4 linked regions of the Yarrowia lipolytica genome follow. The protein of the gene in region 3 interacts with the protein of the main gene of each other region in a pairwise test. Links are inferred from orthologs where the notes say so. Each region holds a gene or a part of one and is shown on either strand. Other genes may lie near its edges. The genes, in order: YALI1_C10860g, YALI1_E04060g, YALI1_D16981g and YALI1_F24079g.

The links.
Region 1: the proteins of YALI1_D16981g (region 3) and YALI1_C10860g interact in binary tests that used the Saccharomyces cerevisiae proteins (3 or more experiments, as listed by UniProt). The link is inferred for Yarrowia lipolytica from reciprocal best matches to the Saccharomyces cerevisiae genes RVS167 and RVS161.
Region 2: the proteins of YALI1_D16981g (region 3) and YALI1_E04060g interact in binary tests that used the Saccharomyces cerevisiae proteins (3 or more experiments, as listed by UniProt). The link is inferred for Yarrowia lipolytica from reciprocal best matches to the Saccharomyces cerevisiae genes RVS167 and ERT1.
Region 4: the proteins of YALI1_D16981g (region 3) and YALI1_F24079g interact in binary tests that used the Saccharomyces cerevisiae proteins (3 or more experiments, as listed by UniProt). The link is inferred for Yarrowia lipolytica from reciprocal best matches to the Saccharomyces cerevisiae genes RVS167 and GYP5.

What each region holds. Positions count from the first base shown.
Region 1 is NC_090772.1:1,082,859-1,089,612, forward strand, and holds YALI1_C10860g (uncharacterized protein), read right to left. Parts: upstream 3,168-6,754; coding exon 2,376-3,167; downstream 1-2,375. UniProt on the Saccharomyces cerevisiae protein: Component of a cytoskeletal structure that is required for the formation of endocytic vesicles at the plasma membrane level.
Region 2 is NC_090774.1:401,528-409,085, forward strand, and holds YALI1_E04060g (uncharacterized protein), read right to left. Parts: upstream 4,503-7,558; coding exon 2,823-4,502; downstream 1-2,822. Other genes in the region: YALI1_E04023g (uncharacterized protein), read right to left, coding at 1-846; YALI1_E04033g (uncharacterized protein), read left to right, coding at 1,828-2,005, 2,391-2,656. UniProt on the Saccharomyces cerevisiae protein: Transcription factor which regulates nonfermentable carbon utilization. Activator of gluconeogenetic genes like PCK1. Involved in restriction of Ty1 transposition.
Region 3 is NC_090773.1:1,693,936-1,701,363, reverse strand, and holds YALI1_D16981g (uncharacterized protein), read left to right. Parts: upstream 1-3,192; coding exon 3,193-4,446; downstream 4,447-7,428. Other genes in the region: YALI1_D17011g (uncharacterized protein), read right to left, coding at 1-151, 208-253; YALI1_D16997g (uncharacterized protein), read right to left, coding at 887-1,621; YALI1_D16990g (uncharacterized protein), read right to left, coding at 1,866-2,351; YALI1_D16959g (uncharacterized protein), read left to right, coding at 5,309-5,347, 5,405-5,584. UniProt on the Saccharomyces cerevisiae protein: Component of a cytoskeletal structure that is required for the formation of endocytic vesicles at the plasma membrane level.
Region 4 is NC_090775.1:2,402,984-2,410,931, forward strand, and holds YALI1_F24079g (uncharacterized protein), read right to left. Parts: upstream 5,103-7,948; coding exon 5,094-5,102; intron 4,995-5,093; coding exon 2,913-4,994; downstream 1-2,912. Other genes in the region: YALI1_F24031g (uncharacterized protein), read left to right, coding at 195-2,174; YALI1_F24099g (uncharacterized protein), read right to left, coding at 5,804-6,997. UniProt on the Saccharomyces cerevisiae protein: GTPase-activating protein which accelerates the GTP hydrolysis rate of YPT1 and SEC4. Involved in ER to Golgi trafficking and polarized exocytosis.

The sequences.
Region 1 (6,754 bases), on a different chromosome or scaffold from region 3:
ATCCGCATCTGGGCAGCAATGACAGCTCGACGGTGACAGGGCTGAAGTATGCCAGCTTTTAGGGTGCTATGGTCCGTAGATATACGCTAAAGATGACGTGCTTGTGCAGCATCCAACTTGGATGAGCAGTTTGCGAGCTCGTAGATATGCCAGTGTGGGGTAGCAGGGTCAATTTTGAGAGTGAGATGAGACTCTTGGATGAAAATTGTAGTGATACTACTACTGTTTTCGGAAATAGCTCGTCAAAAGTCTCCTTGCTAAGACTTCAGTATCCTTGCCCAACTGGCACTACTGCACGAGACAGTAGTAAATGTACCAAGGCCTCCGACACAGTCATGATCGGCCAAGCCAGGGTCAGAATGGTAGATAATTATTTTACCTAGATCGTGGCCAAAGAGTGGATATTCTGACAAGAGTTGTGGGCGGTAGGGATAGACGAGTGGAGGCATAATATGGAGCCAGGAATAGATAGTCTGGACTCGGTGGAGGGATCTGAGATAAGAGTGATTGAATCAGGAAATGTCAGTGTATGGCATGTAGATCGTATCTAGGTTGTAGTGCTGTGACCATACAGTCCTACAGTACAATACGAGGAGCTGACTTTTGCATGTTCCGGGTCTCTGCCAAAGTTAACTGGACTCACAGACTTCTTTGTTTGGAAGTAATTCCGTAACATATTCGCACTATAGACTCTTTGTCTTGTCAGTGCTCTCCGATCGGGCTATCTACATGTGTCAGTGTGGTGCGTAGTCTCGGTGAATATGATAAACCGAGCATAGATGGACGAACATGAAACCTCCGTGGGAGTTTGGAGAAGTTTCATTGGCCAACAAAATGACCTCATTGCTCATGAGACTTCCCTGGAGCACCATCCCTACTTGTGAAACACGTCTAAAGAAAGCAAGCCCAACCAGACACTGACATGAATCCTCACCATCACTCCGTATTATGGCTTAGTAAGTATGAAAGTACAAAACAATGTTGAAAACGAGCGTTAACCTCAGTTTAAAAAACTCCCTTGTGTCGCCCACTCTCTCTCTTCCCTTTCAGTCCGCGAGCAATCTAGCCCAGTGGTGTGGGCTATAGACCTTCTCGTACCGGTACTAGTCTCTCCCAAAGTTGAGCGTCTTTGCAAAAAACTTCCGTGGAACTCGAGATAATCAGGTGATTTTGAAACACGTGTGTTCAGGTTACTTCCCCTCCGTTGCAGTAGCCTGCTCTATCAGCACAGTAGATCTTGGCTCCCGGCGCTATACGAAAGTTAAACAGGAAGTATTGAAAAGAGAGCATGGTGTGGGGAGAGATTTTGAGGAGTATAGCTGTCAGTAGGACTGTGCACAAATGTCCCTAACACATGACTAAATGGTAATGTCAACTCTTCCTCTACCAAGACCTCTCAGAACACTGGTCTTGTTGCTGTACATACAGCTCAATAACTACTAAGACGAAGAGACTAGAGACCCTCCATGGAACAATCTATACTTCTAGAAGGTAGCTAGAAACTAAAGAAGAGTCCAGTTCTTCAATTGACAAGTCTTTGTGACATACTGCAGTCTCAGAACCGCACCATGTGGTAATTTGGTCCACGCTAAAATTGCTATACGTCCTTGGCCTAGTTATTCGTTCCTATACAAGAACCAGGCTAGCTGTTTCACACACTCTGGGCTAATATTGTCCTCGATATTTGGTTAACCGAAGATTTACTAGATTAACAGTTTACTACATTACGCTGTACCAGTTCTGTACTTGTAGTAAATTCTCTAGCTTATCATGGGCTTGATAGTGGTAAGTGGGGCCAGAAAGAGCTTAGATTACAGCTAAAAGTTCGAATGAGGAATTTTTACAAGACTTGAATGACCAAGAGACCACTCGTGGACCGTATCTTCTGGTTATAGTCTTCTAGTTAGTTCTATTGTGTGCCGCTCTTATCTTCAATCCTGGCTCCAAAGATAGATACGCTAAACATTGTCCAAAGACTGTTAAAAGCACAACAAAGAGAGACATCGATTCGAACAACACCAACGTTCGACTGTGAGTCTTTCTTGGTCTCCTTGTGAACAACATGAAAGTTGCAAATGGCTTGTTAGTAGCAGCTGATCAACCTTTCAACACTGCTAATAACAACCACAGCAAGACGAGCAAAGGAACAACCAGTAGTCCTCGTCTATACCACTCTCTCGGTCAAACACGCTATCCCTTCGACTTCATGCTTATCATATATTCATTATACATACTCGTCCACTCTGCGCTTCCAAACGCATGGGTTAGCGAAAACCGTCTTGCCGGCCAACAGCCTACCAGACCATGGCACACTCACTACAAGCAGATGAGTTTGCTCAATAGGCCCGCTCATTCATTGTATGAATTCGATGAGCCTATTTAGTTCCCAAACTAGTAATGCTCAACTCTCTCATGTTCTGCAGTAGATCCTCCACCTTGGCGTCCAACTGGCCGTTAGCGTATTCCTCTCGACTGCTGGCGTCCAGATACTGCTGCACCTGCGCCAGACGGGTATACGACTCTGTACAGAATCGCAGCTGGATCTTGACGAGAGCCTCGAACGAGGGATCCAGGTAAGGAACCCGCAGGTCGATCAGCTGGGGCAGCTCCTCAATCAGCTGGTTGTTGATCTGAGAGTACATTTCCTTGGCCATCTGCTCTTCCTTCTCTGCCTGAGGAAGACGCGCGGCATCGTTGCTGGGCTTTTCAATCAACTTCTTGGTCTTGTGTCTCAGAGCATCGTAGTCCATCAGCTTGTGGTTTCGCTTTTTGATGGCCTCGTTAATGTCAGTGAAGTAAGCACAAAATCGCGTGATGGGATCCAGCACCGTCTCTCGGTAGGGGCCATCCAGAGCCTTGACGGTCTCGGCATCCAGTTCCTGGACAGCCTGCAAGTAGTACTTGGAAATGCCGTCCCGGGTGCCAGCGTCGCCGTAAAACGCATCAATGGTCTCTGCGATTCGCGTCTGCGACGACGTCATGGCTCGCAGCGAGTCCAGAAAGCCCTTGGCCTCCTTGTTCAGCTTGGTGGACGCCGTCTCCATGGTTCGATATCGACGCTCCTCGGTCTCGAACTCCCGGTCCACCGTCTTCTCCACGTGGCCCGTCTTCATCATCACCGACGTGCCCGCCCGGTTCATCGCCTTTTTGAATCCATTCCAGCTCATGGTAGTGTTGGTTGTTAGTGTCGTGTATGCCGAGTGTAGTGGTGAGTGGTTTGGAGATAAGGTGGGACTGAGTTAATTAGGGTAGGGGTAGCGCAGCATATGAGCGCACTGGACGTGCACTTTTCAGATGCGAAAATGGAGCTTGAGACGTCGATTTTTCCCACTAACGACTCTAAATCACGTGATTAATCACATGACGCAGTTACCTAAGCAAAATCTTTCTCCAATCACAGATTATGACTGGGGATCAACAAGCCAAGGAGTCCATCTGGCTTATGTTCGTAGGGTTAGGGGAATCTAAATTGGTGGCAATTTGAAATGAGTGACAGGAGGAGGAGGTGGAGATTTCGACTTGTTTTTGGGTGAGAGAGTATAATAGTTAGTGTACCATTAAAATATAGTGCATTTTCTGAATCGTCTGGTGGTCTCTGCTTCCTTGGGGCATGTCTGCAGCTCGAGATAACTACCCACCAGCTGACTTTTAGAGTTTGCAGAAGTATTTTTGGGAGGCGTTTTGGGAGTGCTATCTTCTACAGTCAGGAGGATGAAACTAAGGGCTGAGCAATACTGATCTAAGAGTCGCCAAGAAGCAAGTGGGGTTTCGGAGGACGATATGTTGGCTTAGTAATCAATATTGGAACCCATTCCTGGCGACTTTTGTGGTTTCGGTGGTTTCGTGTCTCCAGACAGTCCTGTTACAAGTACAAGTATGAGCGCTCAATGGACTGTGTATAGACTGATTTCGAGATAATTTGTGAGAGAGTTGAAAAGTGATCCATTTCGACATAAATGAGATGAGGGAAACCAAAATGGTCTTAAAAGGTTCTCCTTTAGATTAGATACTTGTACTTTTACTTGTACACGACGCCAGGGATGGTGGAGCCCTTCAAAGGAGCCCTCAAAAACATATACATGCTGTCAAAAGTGGAGAAGATGAAAAGAAGTATAGAGGTACTGTACTAACAAGTTCTAGACAGATTCTAGGTCGACTTTCTCCGTCCCTGACCAATATGACCCGCTTGTACCCTTGGCCTTGCTTGAAACACCTCGGCTCATATTCAACCACTACGACCCAGCTCGGTAAAAACACCCACATCTCCAGTACAAGCCTGCATTATCGGATCATTGGACGTTCATTTACTTAGTCTCGCAACCCCAGATGGTTAGCTCAGCTACTCAAGCCTAGTGCTTCCCCATGTGGCTCTCCAGACCCTTATATTGTACATAACTGTGCTGCCGGGTAGACTGATTGTCTTATGACACTAACACAATGGAGTCACTATTTCAGGCCGTAGGAAATTGGACCCACAGGGCACAGCCTTGTTGACCCCTGAGGTCGTATCTTGGAAACTCATGCCGGTTTGTCTGTCTTGCACCTGCCCCCTGTTCTGCTCATTCTTTTTGAGAGTTCCGGTTTCAGAAGAGCATCACGTGAGTCAATAACAAGCGACCCTGATTCTCCTTTGGGCTCTTCATCGTCACAAAAGGGCTCTAGCGGCTCCCGTTGTCTGTTTCTCTTTATCCCCACAATTGGTAAACTCCACGCTACTTTAGTTGGTCAACTCAGTTCGGCCTATTTTTTTCTGCATATACAAAGTAACTACAACGATGTAGCTTACTTAGTCTGCTGTGAGTAGACATACGGCGGCTAACTAGACTAGGAACGATTTTTAGCACCTGGAGCTCTCATGTGCATTGGAGGACAGGGAGTCACAAGAAAACGTCAGATCAGGTGATCTGTCACATCCCACTAGCTTCCTTTTATATGCATCGCGTGATATATCATTGCGTCCCTGGGTCCAAGTCGTCTCCATATCATGCTACAACCCTGCAATATGTGTATGTGGAGCTGAGTTGTAACAACCAAGGCAGCTAACTCTAGACTGCCTAGACCCACTAAGTGGAGCACTCTAAATAAGTGCGTTTTGCTCCCGCTAAGATTCCCACTATTTCTCACTAGTTTGAAACTAGCGGTAAGGGACAGATTGTTCGGAGACAGACTTGCGAGAATGGGTCTAACTTTGGATTCAGAAGAGCTATCCTAAATCCGAGTTCGGAGATTGAATTAGTCGAGATGAAATGATCTAGGGAACATCTTTGATAGCCTCCAACGTGACTTTCTCGTCCTCGGACACACGCGTGATCTTTCCCCGATTAGCCTTCTCCACTAACTGAGCCTCATCCTCCGCTAAAAACACGCTAGCAGCTTGTCAATGTGGGCGGCACGCACGGATAGTCTATCCAGGGTCGTAGATGTGGACTCAATGGCAGGCACAGTTGATCAAAGTGATCTGAAAGACAGGAATTGGGTCACGCAAACAGCCACATGTCTACACATCTGGATCGCGAATCACTAACAGACCATCATAGCATGTTTGAAGCCTATAATAGAGGTGCAAGTAGGCAGTTTCCAATCTTTCGAATCTCAGCTTCCACTCCAAACCCCTTCCTCAGGGTAGTATTTCGATCCAACACGCTAAAAGGGCGATTTTTCGCGGTGCAACGGGGGCAGAACTTTAGAAACGCTAGATCGAGGCAACCAAGGGGATGGGTCAGGTTTACGAGGTGACAAAGAGCGGAAGCCGAGATTACAAGTTGCGCAAATAGAAGGCGACTGGTTTTGCAAGAGAAGTAACAAGTGGACAAGCGGAGACATGTTAGAGATGGTCCTATGCTAGTGCGGGCGCAAGTGCACTACAGATACGTGACTGTAGCCTACAGATGAAGGTGTGAATCTAATATGTATGAATTTGTACTAATGATATCATAATAAAAGACTTAAGAGCCGATTATGTCACCATGTTGAACCCTTCATTGATCTCCAGCATTCAAACCTCTCTACATACCCCAAACTTCACTCCTCCAGTACTTCAAACACAGGCAAACCAATACTACGCTGAGAAGCTGAAGCGTATCCAATTTCACGTGACAGGTCGCCGACTTCTCCGACCCTCATAATGCAACTATCACCCTAGGCGCGCCCGGTAGTCTAACAATCGAGCTAGTGGGGGCTAGGGTGGTGGACTGTTGCTGCCCGGGAGATGTCAGCCTGAACAAAGACCAGGCAGGTTTACAAATATTCTGTTACAGTAGGTTACATGTCATAAATCTAAGACAGCAAGAAGGTCTGTCATCAAGGAGACGTCAAGACCTTACAGTACCTACAGGAGTCGCAGGTGTCAGATATCTTGCAGTCACGTAACATCAGCCGAACGACGACGTCATACTACATGCTATTGCCTAGTCTGAACTATGACCCTGCACCTTGAGGTGATGCTGATGCTGGTCTAGCAGATCCTTAGGGTCCTGGCAGTGTTTCAATTGTTTTACCCGTCATGAGCAATGTAGTTGAGTATCGAACAAGACGGATTGGCTTCAAATGACGACTTCCTACCAGAAGGAGTCCATGGAGGAATTATTTTTTAAATCAGATCGGTATTTGACTAGATCTGCGTATGTCTACAAAAGATGACCCATCTCGGATCAAAAACTTCTAGCTTCTAGTTCGGCTAATGGAGGTGACAAAAAGGTGGATTGAAGAGGCTGTGTTATATGACATAAACATATGTCAGGGTCACATTGAAACT
Region 2 (7,558 bases), on a different chromosome or scaffold from region 3:
GGGGTTGGGAAGCAGTCTCCAGACTCCACCGCCAAGTTCCTGTCTCGAAACTACTGATCGGGTGTTAACAGCAACCATGCCTGTCTTTCGGAGGTCAAGGCAAGCCAGAGTATCATCATACGAGCCTGTCCAGATCTGAGCGCCATGAGACTTTCTCCAGGAAGGCAGAATTGAGGTCACTCCTGCTTGGTGAATTCGGTTGTTGGATATCGTATCGGTAACGCCGTTATTGTAGTCCAGTTCTTGTTCACCGTCTTCATACAGAGGTGTCCGAAGATCCGAAATCATGAGGGCAGCATCGTCTCCACCAGACATGACCAAGTTGGGGAACTCGTCTCCTCCAAAAGACGAAATCCAAGCTTCCAAAGAGTGCTCATGCAGCGAGCGGTCGATCTTGAGCTCGGAGTCTGAGATACGAATGAGAACAACCTCACCGGAAGTTAGAGTGGCTACCATGAGATCATTGAAAGTGGGACTGAACGTGATAGAGAGCACAAGCAGCGACTCATCAAAGAGCTGGTAGGACTTCTGCTGAGTCAGCTCAGAACCGTCCCACCTCCATGTGATGATGTTTCCGGTACTTTGACTGGTGCAGATGAAAGAGTGGTCGAAGGGGCTAATCTTGAGGTCCAAGATTGATGAGTTTGTTCGGCAGCTCTGCTGCAGTTTCAGCTGGTCGTCTTCAAGCTTGTAGACATCGACCGTACCATTTCGACTTCGGTCGTCCTCCAGCTTGTAAGTGGCCACAAAGATGATAGATGCATCATCAGGTTGAATCTGGATGGCACATGGTGGCAGATCGGTGATTGCAGACGTTATAGTGCACTTGTTGCTGTGGTCCTCCATTTAGTGTTCACGGAGGAGAAAAAAAAATAATTAAGGTGCGATTATGCATGAATGCGCTTATAGACCTGCTCACGAAATTGAGAAGGGGATCTACTACTTGTACTTGTAGTAATTTTACGAATGTGCTTTTGTATTGTAGCAGACAAGATGACTGAATCCGGCAAGATAATGAGCTACTCAAAAACGAAAAATTAGGACGGCACCATGTGACTGACTGACATCTCACAGACCATCGCTGGAAAGAGAGACCGTTATTATATACAGCGCCTCTCACATACATCGGCTGTGTCTCTTGTATCGTACAGTAGCCTGTCTAATTAACGTGATTATGTACAGCCCAAGTATCGTACAAGTACACAGATCAGTCAGTTGATCAAGAAAAGGGGCTAACAGGGCCGAGAATGATTGAAGCTACAGTCTTGGTGAGTTCACCCCTTGACTCCTATTTTTTATCATTAGGCTGTTTTACGGGATTCGTATCAAGATGTCATTTGCTGAGACCTATTCCCAATTGTATTATCTCTTCACAGCCCATGAACCTACAGCACCATAACGACACACCCCTGCCTACAGTAAAGGGTAGCTACCGGTAATAAATGGTAAAAATTCATGCTCTCGGCTGTGCAGGCCAGTCTCCATGGCGACAAGAGATCCGCGCTAAAAATACAACTCGTGTTTGATGGTGGATTCAACCCGAATAATGGAGGCAACCACTCGTGACAGCGTCTGAATACCAATGTACATTTTCAAATCTCTCTATAGGACTCACTCTACGAAGGGTTCAGTAACACGATAGACACACGCACTCACGTGTCCAAAGCTTGAATCTTAGGGTTAGGTCAAGTTTATTTGCGGTTTGTTTATGTTTGTGTACATTGGGAATAGGAGACGGGACAGAACGCATCAACACAAACTACACACAAAAATATTACAAATGGTGAGTTCAGAAATGAGAGACTTGTTGCACTCTTTCAAATCATCATGGCACCACTAACAAAGTCGCAAAACTCCAAATCTTTCAAGGACGCCTTTTCCCTGTTCGACAAGAAGGGCACCGGCAAGATTCCTGCTGAAGCTCTCGGTGATCTTCTCAGAGCTGTGGGCCAGAACCCCACCCTCGCTGAGATTGATGATCTGAAGCAGACCATTCCCGCTGAGTGTGAGTATACTACAGATATTTTCAAGCATCTAGGTGATGGGCCGATAATGGAACACGGTGTGGTGTGTGAGACGATGAACCGAAACATGTCACGGTCCAGCGAAATGCAACTGCGATAAATTGGGCGGTTTCAACGTGTTGGGGTATAGATTCGAGGAACCCGTATCACTTATATCGTGATCACAACGTGTTTGGATCTCTCGTGACAGAAACTTGCCCGTCAAGGGATGTTCCGGTGATTGATTCCTTCATTAAGGTCGTTAAACGGTAACCTCGAAGCGATCACATAAGTCTCTATGACGACAGGGGAGATGGGGTATGCCTAGATTCGCTCTTTCACACCTCTACCAGCATAAATCCACCCCCTCCATCAGCACTAACACAGTCGACTACGAGACCTTCTCCAAGATCGTCAACCGACCAAGCGGTTTCAAGTCTCTCGGTGAGCCCGAGGATTACATCCGGGGATTCCAGGTGTTCGACAAGGACTCCACTGGGTTCGTGGGTGTCGGCGAGATGCGATACATCCTTACCTCGCTGGGCGAGAAGATGTCTGATTCCGAGGTTGATGAGCTCCTTAAGGGAGTCAACGTTACTCGAGACGGCAACGTCAACTACGTTGACTTCGTCAAGTCCATTCTGGCCCAGTAGATACCTAATATATTTTTTATGTTTGAGCGATTCCCATCCGTAGCTACTTGTACTGGTGACAATGTCTTTGAAAGTGTCGTATTGTTTTACATAGATCATAACAGTGAAATAAATAGCTTATATATATAAATTAAGCAACCTGTTGCCGAAGTATCTCGTTGGAATATCAACTCAAGATGGGCAGGAAGTTGCCAACAATCATCATGGGGTTGCCAAAGACATCCCGTTTTAGGGTCCAGATACTGGATGTTTTGATTTTAGCACCGGTCGGTGTAAGTAGTGTACAGTCGGCCATAGTAGCTCCTCTTGAGTCTCCAAAAGCGATTCGAGAAAAGAGCTCAAAGTACTCGAGGACAGAATTGTCGTCCAGCAGCTCTACGATGAAGGTCTGCTGACCAATGAGACGCTGTTCAGACCAACCCGAGAGCTGACAGAACTCTTTTCCAACAGCAGCTAGTTGACCAGTACGTCTCCAGACAAGAGTGGGGGTTCCAGAAAACGAAATAAACTTTTGATACTCTAGGAGGGCTCGCTGGAAGCATTGTTCCATGAACACCAGGTCCTCCTCTTTCAGCGAGTTGGTACAGGCAATAAAAGAGGGTCTGTATTCAGCCATATACTTAGTCATCTGGACGAGCTGCTGTTTGTTGAAACGGCCTTTCAGATAAGAAATGAGTCCATGGTATCCAGGAGTGTAGCTGAATGGCTTTGTGATGTTAGTATAGACCTGGATAGGGTCGGTGTAGTCAGGTAAGTTGGAGTAGACAGCTTCCAGAGCACCTGAAGAGAAGATGGACTTGCTTGGCGAGTCTGGAGCTTCACTCCCGTTTCCATTGCCGTTGGTGTTTTGCGGCTGGCCAGCTGCTACAGCAAACGAAAGAGGCCTCAACTTCTCGTCAGTAGTCAGCTCGCTGTCCTTCACATTTCGCCTAGTTTCGTTAAACGCAACAATTTCAGGCACAGTTAAGAAGGTATCATTGACGAACTCTCCAGCCAGTGGGTATTGGTTAAGATCCTTTGCCGACAAACCGTTAGACTCAATGAGTTGTTTGATCTTAGCTGAGGGAGTAGCTGCCTGGGGCGTAGGCTGGTCCTGGTTATGTGGCGAGTGAGTGTTTGGAGACTGAGAGTTGTTTCCGAGCAACAAAGAGTTGCTTACTGCGGAGTTTGGTTGACCAGAAGAGTACACCATGTTTGACAGGATGGAATACTCCATATTAGTAGCCACGGACTGGAACGAGTGTCCCGATAATTGCAGATCCGAGAACCAGTCTGACGAAAAGTCACCTTCTCCAGTTCTTCCCAGGTCTCCTAATTGGTTGATTTCCGTCGCCAGAAGCTGCTGGTGTATAAGGTAGTCTGCAGGAAGTTGTGACGGAGTACTTGACTGGCCTCCCTGTGGTTGTTGGGCACCCTGTCGCTGTGGTCCCTGCAAGTTTGTGTGGGCCATGCCAGGTGTTCCTAGGTTCGGATGTCCATTCTGAGGGGTATTGGGGACGGGCATATTACCCATATGTTGTTGCTGCATGTTCCCCTTCGTATCAGGGAAGCCTGCAGAGCTAGAGCGAGCACTTCGAGTTGCTGGGCTCAGTTTTGGTTGTACGTTCACACCAGGGGCAGGTGACAGGCCTTTACTGGGCTTATTATCCTCCTTGTCGTCCAGATACTTTAGTTTCTTACGCACACCGTCCACACAGGTGTCTGCGAATCCTCGGGCCACACATCTCTCACAGGGTCGGTTGTTATCGCATGTCAGATGGGTTCGTTGGCAGTGGATACACGCTCGGTGGGCCTTTCTTCGCTTCGGCTTGCCCGTCCGTTGCGAAATCACCACGGGTTTCTCCATTGGAGTTGGGTTGGAGCAATCTGTTTTCAGCTGAGAATGGTCGGTTGGAATGTATGACTGCGATGCGTACAAGTCTTTGGGAGCTAGAGCTTGTAGAAGGAGCGTGGTAGGTTGTTTTCAGGGAGCTGACGCGTCGGTCGCAAGATAATAGCGTGGGTCTCTCCTTGGCTGGACAAGTCTGGAATATGAGAAGTTCTAGAGAAATGGGTTCTGACAACCGGAAACCGGGCTGTTTAAGCTAGTGCCGCAGAGATGCGGGTGCAGTGCATATAGCTTGGGGTCGAAAGGATTGATAAGTGGCGATGGGAGTGTTCTAGTTACATGCTTCAAGAGATAGTCAGGAGCCGAAGCTTTAATACATCAGATACAGAGCCCTAATATTTCACAGACTTACACACGTACCAGCTTTTCCCAACGGTGCAACCCCCTGCTCTGTTTTGTTTTTTCTTACTCGGCCTTGGTTTCGTCATTTCTACTTACTTGACCTGCGTATGGCTTTAAGCTCAACGCTACGGAATATGGTTCATGACTAGTGGGGAAGCCGAGTCAGTAGACGTGAATGTTGAGTGGCTTAGTGGGTCGAAGAAGGTGGGCAAAGCTGATTATAACTACTCTGGAGTGATAACAAAACGACTGTGCTATTTCAGACCTCAACTTCACCACATGGTCAACACCAGCAGCACTGTTTGCTTCTGCTAAACGGAGCAAAAGTTTATGCCTACACGAAATTCTATGAGATGTGGGGTGCGGCGGACGACCCCAAATGTTGTGCCATCTGGGTGAAAATCCCGAGAGCGAGTCACTTTTGGACCGGTTTGAAAGCCAACAAAAAGACTCCCCTATGACCAAACCTCGCATTAACGCCCCTCTCTACACGCTACCAGCAAAAAATGGATGCTCTGAGCTCCCCAACGTGAAACTCCGTTTAAACTCGGATGACTGATTTTTCAATGTCCCGGTACCTCCCGAACAATGCATTCTGGAGGCATCTTTAGCCTCGGCCTCTAGAGGGGCAACTGAAAAACGCACATGTTATTTCCGATACATTCCGAGGCTCCTACTTCTCCCGAGCTCCACCGTGCTTTGTTCACGTGCAACTCGTGAGAATCGAAACGTCTGAGGGGGGATGGGAGGCGTCAGGGGATATATCTGTTCAGAATCTTTAAGATAGCTGAAGCCGACACTTTGGCCGTTTAAACTACACTACCCGTAGTGCTCAATTGAGGGTATGATTCGCCTCTTGCTACGCGCTTGCGGTCGAACACCATGTGCAATTAATTACAAGTAGGAAGCCTCGGTCAAGGCTCCGGACAGAGGCAAACAGAGACAAAACAGACATGTTGCTATTGATCGGGGCACGCTGACACGCTTTCAACACTTCCACAAGACTTTCAAACACGAACCTTTGGGTCCGTGAAGCTTTGTACGGCGACGTAGAGTCACAGTATCGTAGCAAGGTCCACTATGACGTAAATGAAGGTCAGTGCGATGTCTGATTCAATGAGTCGTACACAACTGCCCTTGAATAATGTACAATACGGGTAGGGTATGTGTATTTGGTATGAGTACCGGTACGGTACGCTTTGTGGTATGAGATTAGAGAAGTTCAAGTATCATATGTGTCATAGTAGTTTTACGCCTGTCCATTTAGCGCTCCAGTTACTTAATAAAGCTACATAATCAAACAGTGCCAGTACTCGTTCTATCATCGTGGCAGGTTTTGTACCCCGGTACTGTAAATACCATTCTACAAGTAGCTACCGTACTTCTCGGACACCACTATACGATACATTGTAGTACCAGTGAGTGAGTATGTACCGTACAAGTACGCACGATACTGTACGATGTCCCAACTTGAGATGTGAATTGATCTGCTGGGTCTGACTCAAACAAAGCACACTTGCAATGGGTAGAAGCGTTTCTCGTATACAACTTGGACGAGTGAGTCACTCCGAGTGAGAGCCGACAGCGTTTCTGGGTTACCCTCGTCTTGTCGGGCTTACGGATCACCTTGAATGAAATATGCAACAGGGAATGCTTCTATTGTCAACTGAGTAATATAAGTTATTTTCAAAGGGGGTCGAGGAAGTTCCTAGGTCTATACAATCAATCAACACGACTGGGGAGAATTCACTTCCATCCATTAGCCCGACACTACATCTTCCTTCTCTTGCACACTATACTTCAATTCACATTATCGCGATGCACTAACCCTTGTCTCACATGCTTTAGGATCCTGAACATGATTGAGTGTAGTGAAACTGAATCCACGATATTATGTGTTTCCTGTAAAGTGCTTCTATTGGCCAGATATTCTACTGGCACCTATTTGTAGAGTACTGTAATCTAATTAACTACTTGTAGGATGGACTGAATGCTACCCTATTGTAGCTACAGTATTTAAGAGAACAGCCTTTCCTAATGATAGATATGCCCATCACACTCGCATCCCATCGAAATTCCAGAGTAAAGGTAACGCATTTGGAACACCAAACAATAAAGACGATTTTCTCTTTATTTCAACGATAGCCCTGAAGTTTGACTGGCACAATATATACATTGGAATACGATTAGTTTTAGTTGTTGACACCTGGTTTTGCTGACTCGTCAACTAATTGTGGGGCACTTTACTCGGGAAGAGAAGTACACTGTACAGTACATACTGTGTAACTACAAGATTCTCTCAAAAGTGCCCCATGGGTTGTGGCTTTCAATCGAGTACGAAGAGTATCAACCGATCCAACTGTTCCATAGCTGTGGTGTCAATCTGAGTGTTTCTTTTGGATCAACACCTCTGATATATATTTACACCATTCCAGGTCATTCTTTACAATGCCTTGTAGATTACAAAAAAGTTTGTTGTTGAAGCCTCCAAAGTGGCTTAATTTTGTCGTTTCACTCACACGATGAGAACAATCAGCTGGTTAGTGCAACATCAACGTGTCATCTCAATAATAGTATAGATGTCAGATTGAGAAATGTCATCAGCCAAGCACACACTTCTTGCTCTCATAGGCCTTCCCATATCGAAGGTGCATGCTCAATGCCGCCCAAAT
Region 3 (7,428 bases):
CTGACTGCCTTGAGTACCAGACTCGTGGTTCTTCTTGGCCGACCTTCAAAAGGTTGACGGGGAAAGGTTCTCTGAAGCACGTCTGCGAGCTTCCAGGTTGCACGCCAGGGCGTACACGTCACGCAGCAGGCATCGGTTATCGGCAGACAGGCTGGATTGGAAGGAGTACAGAACGATCTGGTAATACACCGAAAGACCAGCGATAACACAGAAGTCTGTTTCTTGGAAGCGGTCGGTGCATTGCGGTGGTCATGGACTCATGGATTCATGGACCCATCTTGCTTCTGAACAAAGTCATGACTGTATCACTCTCTAGAATAGTATATCCAGCCAGCTCGAGCAGAGTCACAACGACCAGTGTGCTCTAGATTGCCATTTGCACCTGAAGCATGTTTGAGAGAAGAGACAACGGTTCAAGTCAGTTGACAGCAGGGACTTCTCCCCAAGGCCATAGAACCACCAGAAGTGGGGTTGGATGTTGAAGAAACGTTGTAAGCTCCATACATGAGACTGAATGAGTAGGAGCACCTATTGTGATTCCTGCGAACTGGAGCCCCGATTGAGATATCTGAACCACCACTGCAGACTAACAAAGCAATTGATACTCCGTACTGTGCTCCCGTACCGTAATTCAAAAGCGGAAAACCCAGCATTGAATCAGCAAGTCAATGGTGATTGAAAACATCATCTGATATCACGAGGTCCCTATGGCTCATGACAAGAGGTGGCCGAGCACTTGTAGAAATGAGACTTTAGAACAATGAAAAGATATCAGATTGTAAGTGCTCAGGCAGTACCCTCAGTTTATAGCTCCGGAAAACTTTCGTAGAACGCTTCTCACTCGCCTCATCGACCGCTCTTCCCATTGCCATCATCGACAGCCCCCTCACCCCTTGTAAGCCCCCCACGTCAATTCAACATCGCCATTGTCCCTCCTCCATCGCTCATAACTCCTCCGATTGAACCTCCTCCAATTGCTGTCCGGGCCATAGTACCAGCCGTCGTTTTCATGGGCAGGCTTGAAAGCAATGATGGTGGCAAAAAACATGACCAGCGAACACAAAACCACATACATGCACAACTTGGACACGGCAGGAGACCGCCAGATGAACTTGTGTGTGTAGATACACAGACACAAAGACATAAGCCCCCATAGAGAGATGAGTAGAGGGATTAACACGTCCATAGGTATATCATCGTTGGCATTGTCGTATTGGGAGTCGAATTGTTCGTCGTATAGGTTGTCGTATCGATCGTAACCATCGTATACATCATTGCCGCTCAACAGGTCATCTTTCGCAGTACTTGTACCACCTCCATCGCTGACTCCCATGATGATGATCCAAATGCATCCCACCCCACCATACTTTGCATATGTATCACTGGGGTTAGGGTAGAAGCAGGTAGTGTCGGGGTTTCGGGTTGGTTTTGTGGTTGTTTCGGAGGTGGTTTCCGGCTGTTTCTGGTGTATAGTTATTTTTTGAGATTTTCTGGGATTTGTGGGAGTCTTGGAGTTCTGTATGATGATTTCTGTGTATTTTGTGCTGCTTCTAATTACAGTGTATGTTTGAGAGCGGTTCAATAAAAAACAAAATACCCAATAAATCAATAAAAACCACATAAATACAATATTAGTATGAGAAAATTCGGCAAAAACTAACGGATATTCTCCAAACTCCTTACGGTCACGTTATCTCAAAAATGGTCGTTTCGGAAACATCCCTCCATATATGTCTCGATAATTGGTGCTAGTGGAACCATAATTGAGGTATTAGTTAAGGGAAAGTTTTGCGAGACATACTGGGGGTTTTGGTGAGTTTTTGGGGGCGGTGTTTGGTGTCGGACGCGTCGACATGAGCTCAGTATCAGTATGGACGTGTCTGATTGGTTGAATTGTAAGAATGTGCGGAGTAGTGTGCAAAATCGATGAAGACCATAAAACATTGAAGAAAAAACTGACAAATAAAATTAAATAAATGAACATAAAATAAATGAAAATAGATTAAAAAAAAAAAAAAAAAAAAAAAAAAAAAAAAAAAAAAAAAAAAAAAAAAAAAAAACACAACAACCCACAAACGCCACAAACGCCACAAACGCCCACAAAACCACCCAAAACCGGCCACGAAACCACTTGCAAAAAACGAAGCAAATATCCACCCTACACTTGTATCTCTTGTCCGTTGCCAAGACCAATAGGGCGGAAGATTAGTGTTTAGGATGGGGCTGAGAATGTCAATGATAAGCGATGGGGACTGAAAAACGCGTGTGGAAAGACGGGGAAAAATAGGAAAAAATGGAGAAAATTGAGGAAAATAACGAGCAGAATGTATCCATCTTTTCGGTATTTTCATTTTCCTTCTCAGACCATTACTCGTCGCTTCATTCCGATGCGATTGTGGCACATGTCTTGTTTAAGACAAGGTGATGCGGTGCATAAGTGGGGCCCTGATGGTCCCCCGTTGGAGTCTTGGGGGCAACCAAGGGCGATTGTTGGAGCCGTCAACGGTGCTTGATGACCAGGACCAGCAACACCGGCTTTTTTAGTCGCCGAAAAGCCGAAAAACCCGGCCCACTTTGCTCCGCTCAGCCATCGTGCCATGCACTCATTCTTACATGCGGCATCACTGTCTCACGTATAATTGCAGAGTTTGATTAAGCTGTTATCTGGTGGAGTATGATGCTGGAGCGGATAGCTAGCGGTATCTATAGACGGAGAGTGATACAAGTCGTGCGGCTACTCAAAGTCGGCATTTGGACGACTTATATCCCAGACGGGAAGGCGTCACGTGATACCACTGCTTGGTGTTTCGTCTCCTCTTGTGACGCAATACGACTTGCACGCACGATACCCAACTGTCATCTTACCATACATACTGTACATCACCACCACTAGCACGACACTAAGAGCATTAGCAGGACGATAGCGGGCTTTTTTTGGGTGGAGAAAAAATAGCAAAAAAAAAAAGCGGCGCGTGCGACGACAGCAACGATATCTGTCGTCTTTGTTTTGGGCCGTTTTGTGTGTGCTTTGTTGCCACCGGTGCCGGTTCACCACCTCCGCAAAGGTTACCCGGCTGAGACATTTGGAGCACAGGTTGGTGCGTCACGCAAGCTGGTCTAAACACAGTGAGTAGCAACACACACTACATTATCCCACCCACTCCACGCCACGTGTGGTGACCTGTTTGCGCCATGTCTATGAAAGGAATCACCAAGGGCATCGCCCGAGCGCCTCAGTCGTTCAAGGCCAAGTTCAATATTGGGGAGCAGACCAAGGATCTGGTCTACATTGACGCCGAGAGGCGGTTCAAGGAGCTCGAGAAGGAGACCAAGAAGCTGCACGAGGAGTCGAAAAAGTACTTTGACGCGATCAACGGCATGCTGGAGCACCAGATCCAGTTCTCCAAGGCGATTGAGGAGATCTACAAGCCCATTTCTGGACGGCTGTCGGACCCCAACGGAGCCATTCCCGAGGGCAACCCCGAAGGTATCAGTGCATGCGAGCAGTACCGTGAGGTGGTCAACGATCTGCAGGCAACGCTCAAGCCCGAGCTGGAGATGATCGATTCGCGAATCATTGGCCCCGCCAACGAGCTGCTGGAGGTGATCAACTCGATTCGAAAGATGGCCACAAAGCGTGCCCACAAACAGCTGGATCTCGACCGACACAACAACTCGCTGAAAAAGTACCAGGATAAGAAGGAACGAAGCGTCAACGACGAGAAGAAGATGTACTCGGCCGAGTCAGCCGTCGAAATCGCCCAGCAGGAGTACGACTACTACAACGACATGCTCAAGGAGGAGCTGCCGCAGCTGTTTGAGCTGGAGGCCCAGTTCATCGCTCCTCTCTTCCAGTCCTTCTACTACATGCAGCTCAACGTCTTCTACACCCTCTACATCCGCATGGAGGAAATGAAGATTCCCTACTTTGACCTCACCAACGAGGACATCGAGGGCGCCTTTGCTGCCAAGCGGGGCGACGTTGCCGAGCGAACTGAACAGCTCTCCATCACCCAGTTCCGAGTCGGACACGCCCGTGCCAAGCTCGAAATGACAAAGCGACGGTTTGCAAAGGACAAGGATAAGGAGGCCGCTGCAGGAGCTGCCCCCGTCGCCGGTGCTGCGCCGCCCGCTTATGGAGGCGAGGAGGCCGCCGACCCTGCTGCAGCTGCCGCTGCCGCTCCCGCCGCGTACACCGCCACCGGCTACCCCAACGAAAAGGCCGTGTACACGCCTCCCGGGGCTCCTGCAGCCGCCGCTCCCGCAGCTGAAACCTGCACCGCCCTGTACGACTACGAGGCGCAGGCTGCTGGCGACCTGTCGTTTTCCGCCGGACAGGTCATCACCATTGTTCAGCGAACCGCTGACACCAACGGTTGGTGGACGGGTATTGTCGGGGGACACCAGGGAGTGTTTCCTGGAAATTATGTTCAGTTGAATGCGTAACCGCAGCGAGCGAAGCGAAGCCAGGTTGTTTGTGATCTGGCCTTGGTGGTGAGCCTGAATTATGATTTCACCGCCATCACGGAACTGCACTTGAACGGGCATTTAATAGTAATGAGATATGTATGCATTGGTTTTGGTAGTGTAGGAGTTGGTAGGATATGGAGCTCTAGAACAAGTATGTGTCTAGAGTGAATGGATATGTCCCTAACAGCTTCAGACTCAAGGAAGATGACAGAATGATCTGATACCACGAGCAAGAACACACTTGAGACATGATGACATTGAAAGTCGATTCAAGGTGTGTCCATTCTACAAGTAGTTGATATGTTAGGAAGTATGGGACTATTTTAACGAGAAATGGAACTGCTCGAATGATATGATGAAGTCTGTGCGAGTCCACGGGTCGTATATACTTGTATACTCTTCTGGATGCTCATCCAGTTGCCCTCCTTTCCAAGAATTACATACTGGAGCACATAGTGTAGGTACATGTAACAAATAATGCCTTCTAACAAAAAGACAAGACAAATTAATGACAAGGGATGTCTTTTCGGGACTTGCCAGGTGACTATGGAGTTGCTGGCGGTGTCCACGATATCTGACGATGGACGAATGTAGTCGCATCACTCATGCAGAGATAATGCACCTCCGTAGAAGATCGTTGGGTTGGTGGAACGAGTGGGTTTGATGTGGGGTTGGAGCATGGACAAGAGTTTGAGGTGATGGATTGAGCAGTCCAGTTTTTCTGTCAATCTTGGGTTTTTTTTTCTTTCATTTTTTTCCCATTTTTTTTCAATTTATCTGATTTATTTTGATTGTGGAAAAAATCGGAATAATTAGTTAAAATACTCTAAAACACCCCATGGCACGTCTGAGGCTCCGCTACAAGTACGTTCATGATGTTCACGAAAGGTAACCGTCTTTCTTCGAATACACCGATCCCCACTGCTTCGACAAGTTCTACATCATCGGGTCATGTTTCACCGAGATTGCTGCTCAGCTGCCACCGACCCCCGTGTCTCTCAGCCCCTTGTGCAGCCGGTGGAGCAGCGCAGCCGCTTTAATTAACTGTCTTAATGCGTCGTCTTTCCGTCTCCAACAGTCTCGAGTCGGCGTTGCTTTTTTTAGCGCTTCATAACTGCTTCGCTCGCTTCGGAACAAGCGTGAGACATATTCATAGATCATCACAATTAGGGGTATAAATAGAAACATTTTGAGACAGGTGAACCAAGAGATTGACACGAGGATTGACAGAGGTGATACAAGGGCTCAAATGGAGGAATACGACCCGAGTGTGTGTTGGGTCAGCGTACTTGCACGATACAGCAAGTCGGTACAATACCGTGCAAGTCGGCACAATACCATGCAAGTCGGCACAATACCGCACAAGTACCGTACAAGTACCATACCAACATCTTCCCCAAACAATAAGTCGGGCATGTGGAGTCAAAGATACCGATGATTTCGCCACCCACGTGACAGTCATTCCACAGTTGCTTCTCTGGGCTTGTTTAGGACCGTCGTATACCCGATCAGGATGATGTATACACATGGTTCTGGGTTGTAAATCTGCTCCAAACGCGGCCATGTCGAGATGTAGCAGTCGGAAAGGCGATCAGAAAGCGGCAATCAATTCAGCTCAGTCACAGGACCACAACAATATCCCGTCCGTCCCCGCAACTCCTCCCAAGATGCCCCCACAGCTGTCCTTCTCCGCTTGTTAGTGTTGCTATAAAATTGAAAATTGAGGCTAAGCAGGTCAACCTAAACACTAACGTTTAGTTATTACGGGACGAACGAATGTGGAGTTGCACAAGTGGCTCTTCTCGGGGGGCGAGGAGCAATGGGCATGGGAGGGGGTTTGAAGGGTCCTCTCCGTACCCCTTCTTGTGTCTGAGGGGGGAAGGCTGTGTGCGGGTCAGAGGAATGGGAGTTGGTTGTTCGGGGCGCCTTTCCCAAAAGAGCTCCAGAGCTCGGATCGGCACAAAAGTAGCTGCGTTGGGTTCGTGTGCGTGTCAGCAATCCAACGGTGCCAATTTCCGCGAGATCCGGGGCGGTATTTCCCGAGCTTCGAGAGCTTCGGGAGGCGCAGTATGGACTTTCCTCTTTAGGTTGGGCTAGCATGTCTGGAGTGTGCATTTTTATTTTGACGTGGATGCAGTGCAGTGGCGAGAATGACAGTTTGGGGCACGCCACGACGCGACGACAGGGGCCGAAACGGCGGACAAAACCGCAGACCGGCCGCGGCAACCGTGTCGCGCGCAATGTCGGTGTTTATGCCACTTTTTGGCCCTTTGATTTGCCCCTAGAGCGGCGTTTGTTAGGCTCGGGCCGGTCTATTTATAAAAACTGCAAACAAAGCATAACAGAAGGCTCTGTTCTGTCGCAGGGTTAAAAGAAGAAGAAGAAAAAAAAGACAAAAAAAAAAAGGACGTGCAGTAATTAGACCTGGGGCTAAAAACGGCAATCATCACAGCACACACTCCACAGCGGACAGAAAAGTGGCTTATGTAAGTGCTGTAGCGTCCCTCGTGGCGTTCTGGTCTGGTCTGTTCAAGGGTAATTGGTCATGGGGACAAACGGTCGGAATGCGGGTACGAGACGAGTACGATATCTGAAACACGCGAATCTCACCATTACACTATGTAGTCGTACGTGTACCAACATGTTTACACGCACACACAGCCTAATAAGGGGTATATATAGGAGCTACTCGTGCCTATACTGTACTAGTGTAAGTACATACTCCCACTTAGTCAAAAGTACTGTCGTACTGTGCTGTAGGTAGTTGAACCCAGGAGAAGGGCAACTGACTATTGTACTTGTCCAAACAGACCGTCGATTGGTCTTGCTACAAGTGTGTGGAGTTGCCCAGATTCGCTGATCCACACGCAAAGACATTGTAGTACATACATGGGTTCACACCGTTGACACCCACCCACACCCACCCACTCACGCTTACTCTTTCTCTCTCTCTCTCTT
Region 4 (7,948 bases), on a different chromosome or scaffold from region 3:
TTGCGAGTAGGTAGAGTTGGCCGGCTTCCTTATTTTGGAGGGTAAGTCTTGTCTGGTTGAGACTTCGGGCCTACTTTGCATGCAGTTGCCGGGTCTCGTAGCTGCAGCTGGTTATTCCGTTGCTATGTTTCTGACAACTATATATAGATGGCGATCTCTCTCTCTAGAATGGCATACTCGATACGTCGTTCGCCATGTCTTCCTATCCATCCGAGAAGGGCGGTACCGAGGGGATCGACAGGGTCCCCAGCGAGACTAACGACGCTTCAGACAACACTTCCGATAACAACGGTCTCCATGAGAAGCCCTCCAACGAGCACGCCGAAGGGCTACCTCCTGGGAACGCTCTGAACGCTGATCTCGACCCCGAAAACCCGCTGTCTCGATACACCCGCGATGAGCTGCTGGAAATCGCGTCTGGGTTTGCTAAGGAAAACGGAATGGGCGACAAGGAGGACATTTTCCGAAAGGGCGCTCTAGTGGCCCAAGACCCGGCCAACTTTGACAACATTGACATTCTCGACGACAATGACCGATACTGGCTGAGACGAGAAATCACCCACAAGTGGGACCACCCCATGAAGGTCTACTACATTGTCATCTGCTGCTCTTTGGCTGCGGCCGTCCAGGGTATGGACGAGACTGTCATCAACGGAGCCAACATCATCTTCCCTGCTCAGTTTGGCATCAAGGAGGAGGCCGGTGTGGTGTCTCAGAAGACCTGGCTTCTTGGTCTGGTCAACTCGGCCCCCTACCTCTGTTGTGCCGTGGTTTCCTGTTGGCTCACCGACCCCATTAATAGACTGCTGGGCCGAAAATGGACCATTTTCTGGACCTGTTTCTGGTCTGGAGCTACGTGCTTCTGGTCCGGTTTCGTCAACAACTGGTGGCACCTGTTCATTGCCCGATTCTTCCTTGGATTCGGTATTGGACCCAAGTCTGCCACTGTTCCCGTCTACGCCGCCGAATGCGCTCCCCCCACCATTCGAGGAGCCATGGTCATGATGTGGCAGATGTGGACCGCCTTTGGAATCATGATGGGATACGTCATGGACCTGGCCTTCTACTATGTGCCTGATCACGGCATTGAGGGTCTCAACTGGCGTCTGATGCTGGGCTCTGCTCTGATCCCTGCCCTGCTCGTCTGTGTCCAGGTCATTTGGTGTCCCGAGTCTCCTAGATGGCACCTTGCTCGAGGAGAAATCTCCAAGGCCTACGAGTGCATGCGAGTCATTCGAAACTCGGAAGTCCAGGCCGCTCGCGACCTGTTTTACGCACACGTGCTGCTGCTTGAAGAGGAGGAGCTGAAGCGCGGCAAGAACCGATTTTTCGAGCTCTTTACCGTGCCTCGAAACCGACGAGCTTCCTGGGCCTCCTTCATCGTCATGTTCATGCAGCAGTTCTGCGGTATTAACGTGATTGCCTACTACTCGTCCAACATTTTCATGGAGTCCGGTTTCGGCGAAATCCAGGCTCTTCTTGCCTCCTTTGGTTTCGGCGCCATCAACTTTGTGTTTGCACTTCCAGCTGTTTACACCATTGATACGTTTGGTCGACGAGCGCTTCTGTTAGTTACCTTCCCGCTCATGGCCATCTTCTTGCTATTTGCAGGCTTTTGTTTCTGGATCGACCAGGACGACCCCACCAACTCCCCAGCTCGAGTCGGTTGTATTGCTCTGGGTATTTATCTCTTCTCAGCCGTCTACTCTTGCGGAGAGGGTCCAGTTCCCTTCACCTACTCTGCCGAGGCCTTCCCTCTCTACATTCGAGATCTAGGTATGTCCTTTGCTACTGCCACCTGTTGGCTCTTCAACTTTGTGCTGGCTGTCACCTGGCCTTCTCTTCTAGCTGCCTTCACTCCACAGGGAGCCTTTGGATGGTACGCTGCCTGGAACGTGGTTGGTTTCTTCCTCGTGCTCTGTTTCTTGCCTGAAACCAAGAACCTGACTCTTGAGGAGCTGGACAAGGTCTTTGGTGTGCCCACTCGAGTGCACATGAAGTACCAGTTCAACGCTTTCAAGGTGAATATCCAGCGACACCTCTTCCGACAGGACATTCCCAAGCCCCCTCCTCTCTACGCCCACGAGGTTGGAGTTGGCGGCACTTCTCACTACCAGCACAAGCCCCACCACACCGCCAACCTCACTCCCCTTCACACGGCGGAGCTTGCTTAAATTATTCTGTGTTACTCATTTAGTTAATTGTATTCATTTTACCGGCAAGTCCAAGTACTGTGCTGTGCTTATAGACGTCCGTTTGTATCGTATGGCATAGTCGTATCTTGGTCAGTGATCAGTAGCAATATGCAGCTCAAACTCTTGGGGGGTAGAGAAGTCCAGAGGACAGTGAGGACACTTCATTCGAGGATGCTTGGGACGTGTGGACTGGCGAGGAGACATTCGGGAGAGATGACGCGCAACATACGACTCCCCAGACCTATATAAATACACACCCACACATACACAAACAAAAGGAGCTACTGCTGGTAGCCCCTTGCTAGGTCAGCTGCATGGTATGTACTGTACCCCACATTTTGTTGATATGCGCATCTTTTGGCGGGATGGTGTTTAATCTCAGATTTTAGCCTTGTGATGTCACAGGCACGTTAGATTGCCAACTAATACAAGCCGTAAACAAAGAAAAGACCGCGTTCATGGAATCGACTAGCTACAAGTAGTTGCTCATGTAAACACATGTAGCAAGCAGGAGCCCAAGAAGGGACTCCTAAGAGGAGACAGATCCCTCAATTGAGGGCATCGAGTGTTCGCATACCTGTATACTGTTGTCCATGTGCGTTGGGCGGTAGCAGTACAACACAATCAGGCACATGTAGCTAACTACTTGTACTAGTATATCACATCCTTGCACTTGCCTTTTAAATATAATATTGCTTGGTTATGTTACGTAGCTAGCTATTCCTGGGGCATGGCATCCAAAAGCTTGCGCATGTCGCCCCATTTGGATTTGAGATTGGTGTGCTGGGCATCAAGCTCGCCATGCTTTCCCCGAATCTCGTCGAGCTCCTGCTTCATCTCCGTCATTTGCGACTGCAGCTGCTCATTCTCAGCAACCAGACGCTCGTTGTCCTGTCTGAGATCCATCAGAGCCTCAAGATCCTCGTCACCAGTGATTCGTCTCATCTCGCTCACCTGCATGTTCAGAGTCTCATTCTCGTCTTGCAGAGATGCAAGCTTGACCTTGCCCTGTACCATTTCGTTAGCAACCTCAATATGCTCCTTCTCGAGAGCCACCAGAGTCGACTCGATTCGTCGCACCTGCAGAGTCAGTTGACCGTTGGCAAGTCGCAGAGCCTCAACCTCCTCCAATCGCTCCCGCTCAAGACGGTTGATCTCGAGATACTCCTCCTGGTACTTGTGTAGCAACAGAGGGTGTATTTTCACGTCCATGGCATCCCGCACAAACTCGTTGACTCGGAACACATCTCCAGCCCCCTCTCTATAGACGTCGAAAATAGACTCCTTGAGGAAGGGCAGCAGATGGTCGAATTTGAGAGCCAAAATTGTGTCGGCGTTCTTCCGGATCAAAGCCACTCCAAATTTGAGAATGGCCTCGATACCCTCGGTCATGATGATGTCAAAGATTCGTAGCACCATTGATAGAGGGAACTTGTATGCAAACAGCGTAAGGAACCACTGAGAGGCGTACATGGACGACTTGACTCCCTGGCGGGTCAAATGGATATGCACAGACGGGACCTGGTCTTCCAACAGCCTGTCAAACTGGTACAGCTTCAGATGCAGTCCGGGCATTTCCTGCAGGAACATTGTTCTGAGCTCGTAGTCCTTGAGCAGCCGCACTAGCAGGCAGAAAGCGTCCACCTCGTTGAGGGTCAGCAGCAGAGGGGTCGTGACAAACGCCATGCCCTGTGTGTATCCCACCTCGGGGTCAAACAGACTGTATGCCTTGATGACGTTGTATAGAGAGTCGGGAGAGGTCTCCATGACAAACGACGTTCGAGACAGATCTCGTCGGATGGCCTTCTCGTGGGGAGTGCTCTCCTTGAGGATTTCAGTGTAGAAGTCTTGCAGAGCAGCGTTCTTAGAGCTTGTGATAATCTGCCAGATGATAGACCGTAATTCTGTGGGGAATCCGGCGCTAATAGCCTCCTTGAGCTGTTTAGGGTGCTCCTTAGCCACGGTTGCGTAGTCCTCAATGACCCGACTCCAAAAGTCCCAGTCAATGAAGGGATTTTCCAGCGACTCCTTCTGTCGCAACTGTCGGAAGTCCTCCTGCAGTAGCTCGCCAGCCTGCAACACCGCCTGTCGCTCCCGTTCCTCCTTTTCACTCAGGCTGTCCTGGTTCTGTTGCATTCGGCTGTACATGAGACCGTAGCCCTCGGCCACAATCTTCTCATCGACCTTGGCGGGCTGGGCGTTGGCACGGTGGCTGTTGGCCAGTGCCGTGATGTTGTCCTCGCTCTTGAGACTGGTCTGGCTCTTGTTGCCCAGGAACCACGAGAAGGCTGACCGCTTTCGTGGTGGCAGACTGGGAGCTCCCTGCCGAGGAGGAAGTGTGGGGGGAGTTTCTCCTCGAGCAGAGGCTGCTCCACCGTCGCCGTGGGTGGCGGGCCGATGGGGTAGCGGAGGAGGAGGAGCCGATGATACGGGTGAGGGGGTCTGGTCATATGTGGCATCGGGGAAAGTGCCAGGTGTTAGCGATTCTCCGTCGGAGTTGAGAACGTTAGCAGAGGGCGACGTGGCCGAGGGCGTGGTGGTGGAGTCCTCATCTGCCCCCGCAGCTCCAGGGAAAGATCCAGGTGTCACTTTCAGTGACGTGGGCGAAGTTGGCTTGGGAGTGGCGGGAAGTTCATCGTCGTCGGCTTTGGCAGTGCCAATGGAGATGGTCGATGTGTTTCCAGCAACTTCTTCGGCTGCTGCACTAGTAGGGGCATCCTCTGAGCCCAAAAGAACATCTTCAGTGTCCTCGTATCTGTGGTCGTCTTCAGATTCCGTTTCGGATACAAGTTCAGGTTTCTGGGTTAGTGTGTGAAGTCAGAGGCTCGGTGGCGAGAGGCGGACCTTCGGGGGCGTGCGCAATTGCGTTGGCTGCGCCTGTTTGTGTTCCTTACTCACTTCACTCATGGTCGGGGGGTGGTGTGCGGTGTGCTCCGTCTTTGTAGTGAGGTTGATGGTACCTCCTGCATGGTCACGCTGGACAGTGTGAGTCCCGTTGCCTGAGGGATTACCCAAACCTTAATTTATTGTCTCAGGTGCGGTGATGGTGGTATCCTATGTACCAGCCGGTGAAGTTCGGAGATGGAGTCCCAAACTGAACAGACTATAGTTGCCCAGACCATGGCAAGGGTGTTAAGTCCGAGTGCGACTAATTGAATTGGTCGGAAATTGATTTATTTCGCGTGTCGAAGATAAAGGCGGTGTACTTGTAATTGCTTGCTGTTAAACCAGAGGTTCAGGTACAAGTTCAGGGACCTTGTTTGGTGATACTTGCTTAAAAAAAAAAACTCGTGATTCCAATCGCTCACTAATGACACACCAGACGTGTGATTTGTGGCAATGGGTCGGTGACATAAAGTGCTAAATTATCTTGGACCAAAAAGACGGTACCCACATTAGCTCCAGTTAATTTCTGTACAGTCTTTTACATTCAGATACCTGAATGGCGCACAGTATGTTCCGAGTGTGAAGCTGCGGAGATAAGTTAATACGGTCCATCAGCGATAGAAGAACTGTATGTACTGTATGTACTGTACCGGTGATGACAGTATATGGCTGAGACTACTGCACTACAGTATCGATTAAATCATTCGTAATCCTTTCATTAGTTAATAAATACTGACAATCTCAACAGAAGAGTCCATGTGAGTGTTCTCCTGGGAGCTTTCATTGCTCAGAGAGTAAGAAGAAGCACTGGACGGGGACTCGGACAGCGAGGGAGGTGTCGAACACAGGTCCGAAACAGAAATGGCCTCAGTTCGAGCCTGCACAGCAGGCTGCAGACGAGAGCCCTCCAGAAACTCGTTCCAGTTGGTTTCCACGACGCTGGCAGACATGAGCGACTCGGAAGAAGAGTCACTGGACTCCTCCTCGGTGATGACTCCTCGGGTCACGCCAATGTCCTTGAGCATAATGTTGACCTTTTCAGCATCAGCATTAGGAAAGTGAACACGAACGTTGTTTTTGTTGACAGTTACGGGCAGCTCTCCAAGAGAGGCGCACACTGTCTTGATGTCTTTGAGAAGCACCTTGGTCTCCTGGACAAAGGCCTGCAAGTCTCGCTCCAGTTGGTCCAGGGATTCTGTGGTCAGCTGTTCCGCCTCCAGAGAGAGCTGGGGAGCAAAGTTGAAGTCCACAAATGTGCCTGTGGAAGTAGGCTCCAGACAGGCGACCCAGGAAGAAGACTGGAAGAGGGACTCTTCCTCGGTGACAGACTCAACCTCGACGGGAAGAAAATATCGGGGGAAGTACTCCTGGGCAGCGGAGCACAGATCTAGCTCCCGCACTCTCAGCTGGGAGGTGACCTCCACGATGCTCTTTCCTCCAAAGGCCGTCTTTTGTAGCTTATGGATGCCCTTACAGGGCATGGCCATTGTAGCGTACAATCTTCGGCCGAAGTTGCATGTAGTATCTTTGCGTTCGAACGCCGAACTAAAGGCTCTTCGAATCGCGTAGCCTGCCAGGGGGTAGGTGATTCGCCTTCGGCAGCCCGGTGCTCGCTGGTAGTTGTAGCCGTTCTCGAATACACGGCTAATGTGACGCGCACAATTGTTTGAGCTGAAGTGTCGGGTGTGCATTCGACGGGCATGTTGGCGATGTTTGCTGAACATGTCAAACTTCTGACGGAACGTCAATGGACGGCCAGCCCGGGCATAGGACAGCACCTCACGATGTGCCTGGAGTCGGGCCTCACATCTCAGTGAGATGTTGAAAGCCAGGCTCTCGTACGTCTCGTGGACGGTGCGGGAAAAGTCCCGGGTGACGTCGCGAGTAAATCGGACGAGATTCTTGAAAAATGGCATGGCCAACAGACTGTGGTGCCGTTATCCACCTATGGCACGGTGTACAGGGTGGTTGGGTTTATCTGTAAATATTTCTTGTCGCTTAATATGCGGCCGGGTAACCTGAGCTGGAGTAGATGTGTTAAGCTCTTCGGGACATCGGAGCCGACTTTTCCGACCGCCCGAAACACGACGAAATCTCGTCTTTTTTCCTCGCTCTCGGGCTACTCCGCATTTCCATGTCATTTGCATCGACCAGCGACTTTCCTCTCTCTCATGTACTCTCCAGCTATGGCAGTGCAGCTGGTCCAAGCGGGGACTTGAGAAACCCAAATGTTGGTGGCAAAACAAAACATGCGTCATCGCTTGTTGAAAAGGGTTTCATTCCGCAGGTACTGTACTGTATGATGTACCTGGTGCATGTGAAGAGGATGGGAAAGGGCGTACGAGTACGATGGGGTGTCGACAAGTCGGGGGCCGTGTAGGTGGAGTAATGTAGGATGTCTGTTACACGTACTTGTGCAAGTACACTTTCAACACGTCATTAGTGTGCTCAAGTACCTGTACTTGTATTTGTACTTGTACTGTCGCCATTTTCCAGCCAGGGGGGGTATGCTCAGTCAACTTAGCCATCGTTGCGTGTGGAATAGTTGTACAAGTACAAGTACAAGTAACGGTATACCCACAAAGTTGATCCATGAACGCCCAGATTTCCCCGAAACGAGACACTTGCACATGGACAACACGGAAACACCCCGATACTTGTAGCTCTCCAGCTCTCTCTCCCTCGCGTTTCAGGAACCTCGCGATAGAGGACCTTTGATCAACTAAAAGTCTAACTGGAGCTGTGGTCATAACAGGATCGGAAGCAGCGACCGCTGAGGTCGGAGCCCATGAAAGGGATCGTTTACTGACCCATAATAAAACAATACCAAAATATACAATATATATGCCGCTCTATAATATGAAACA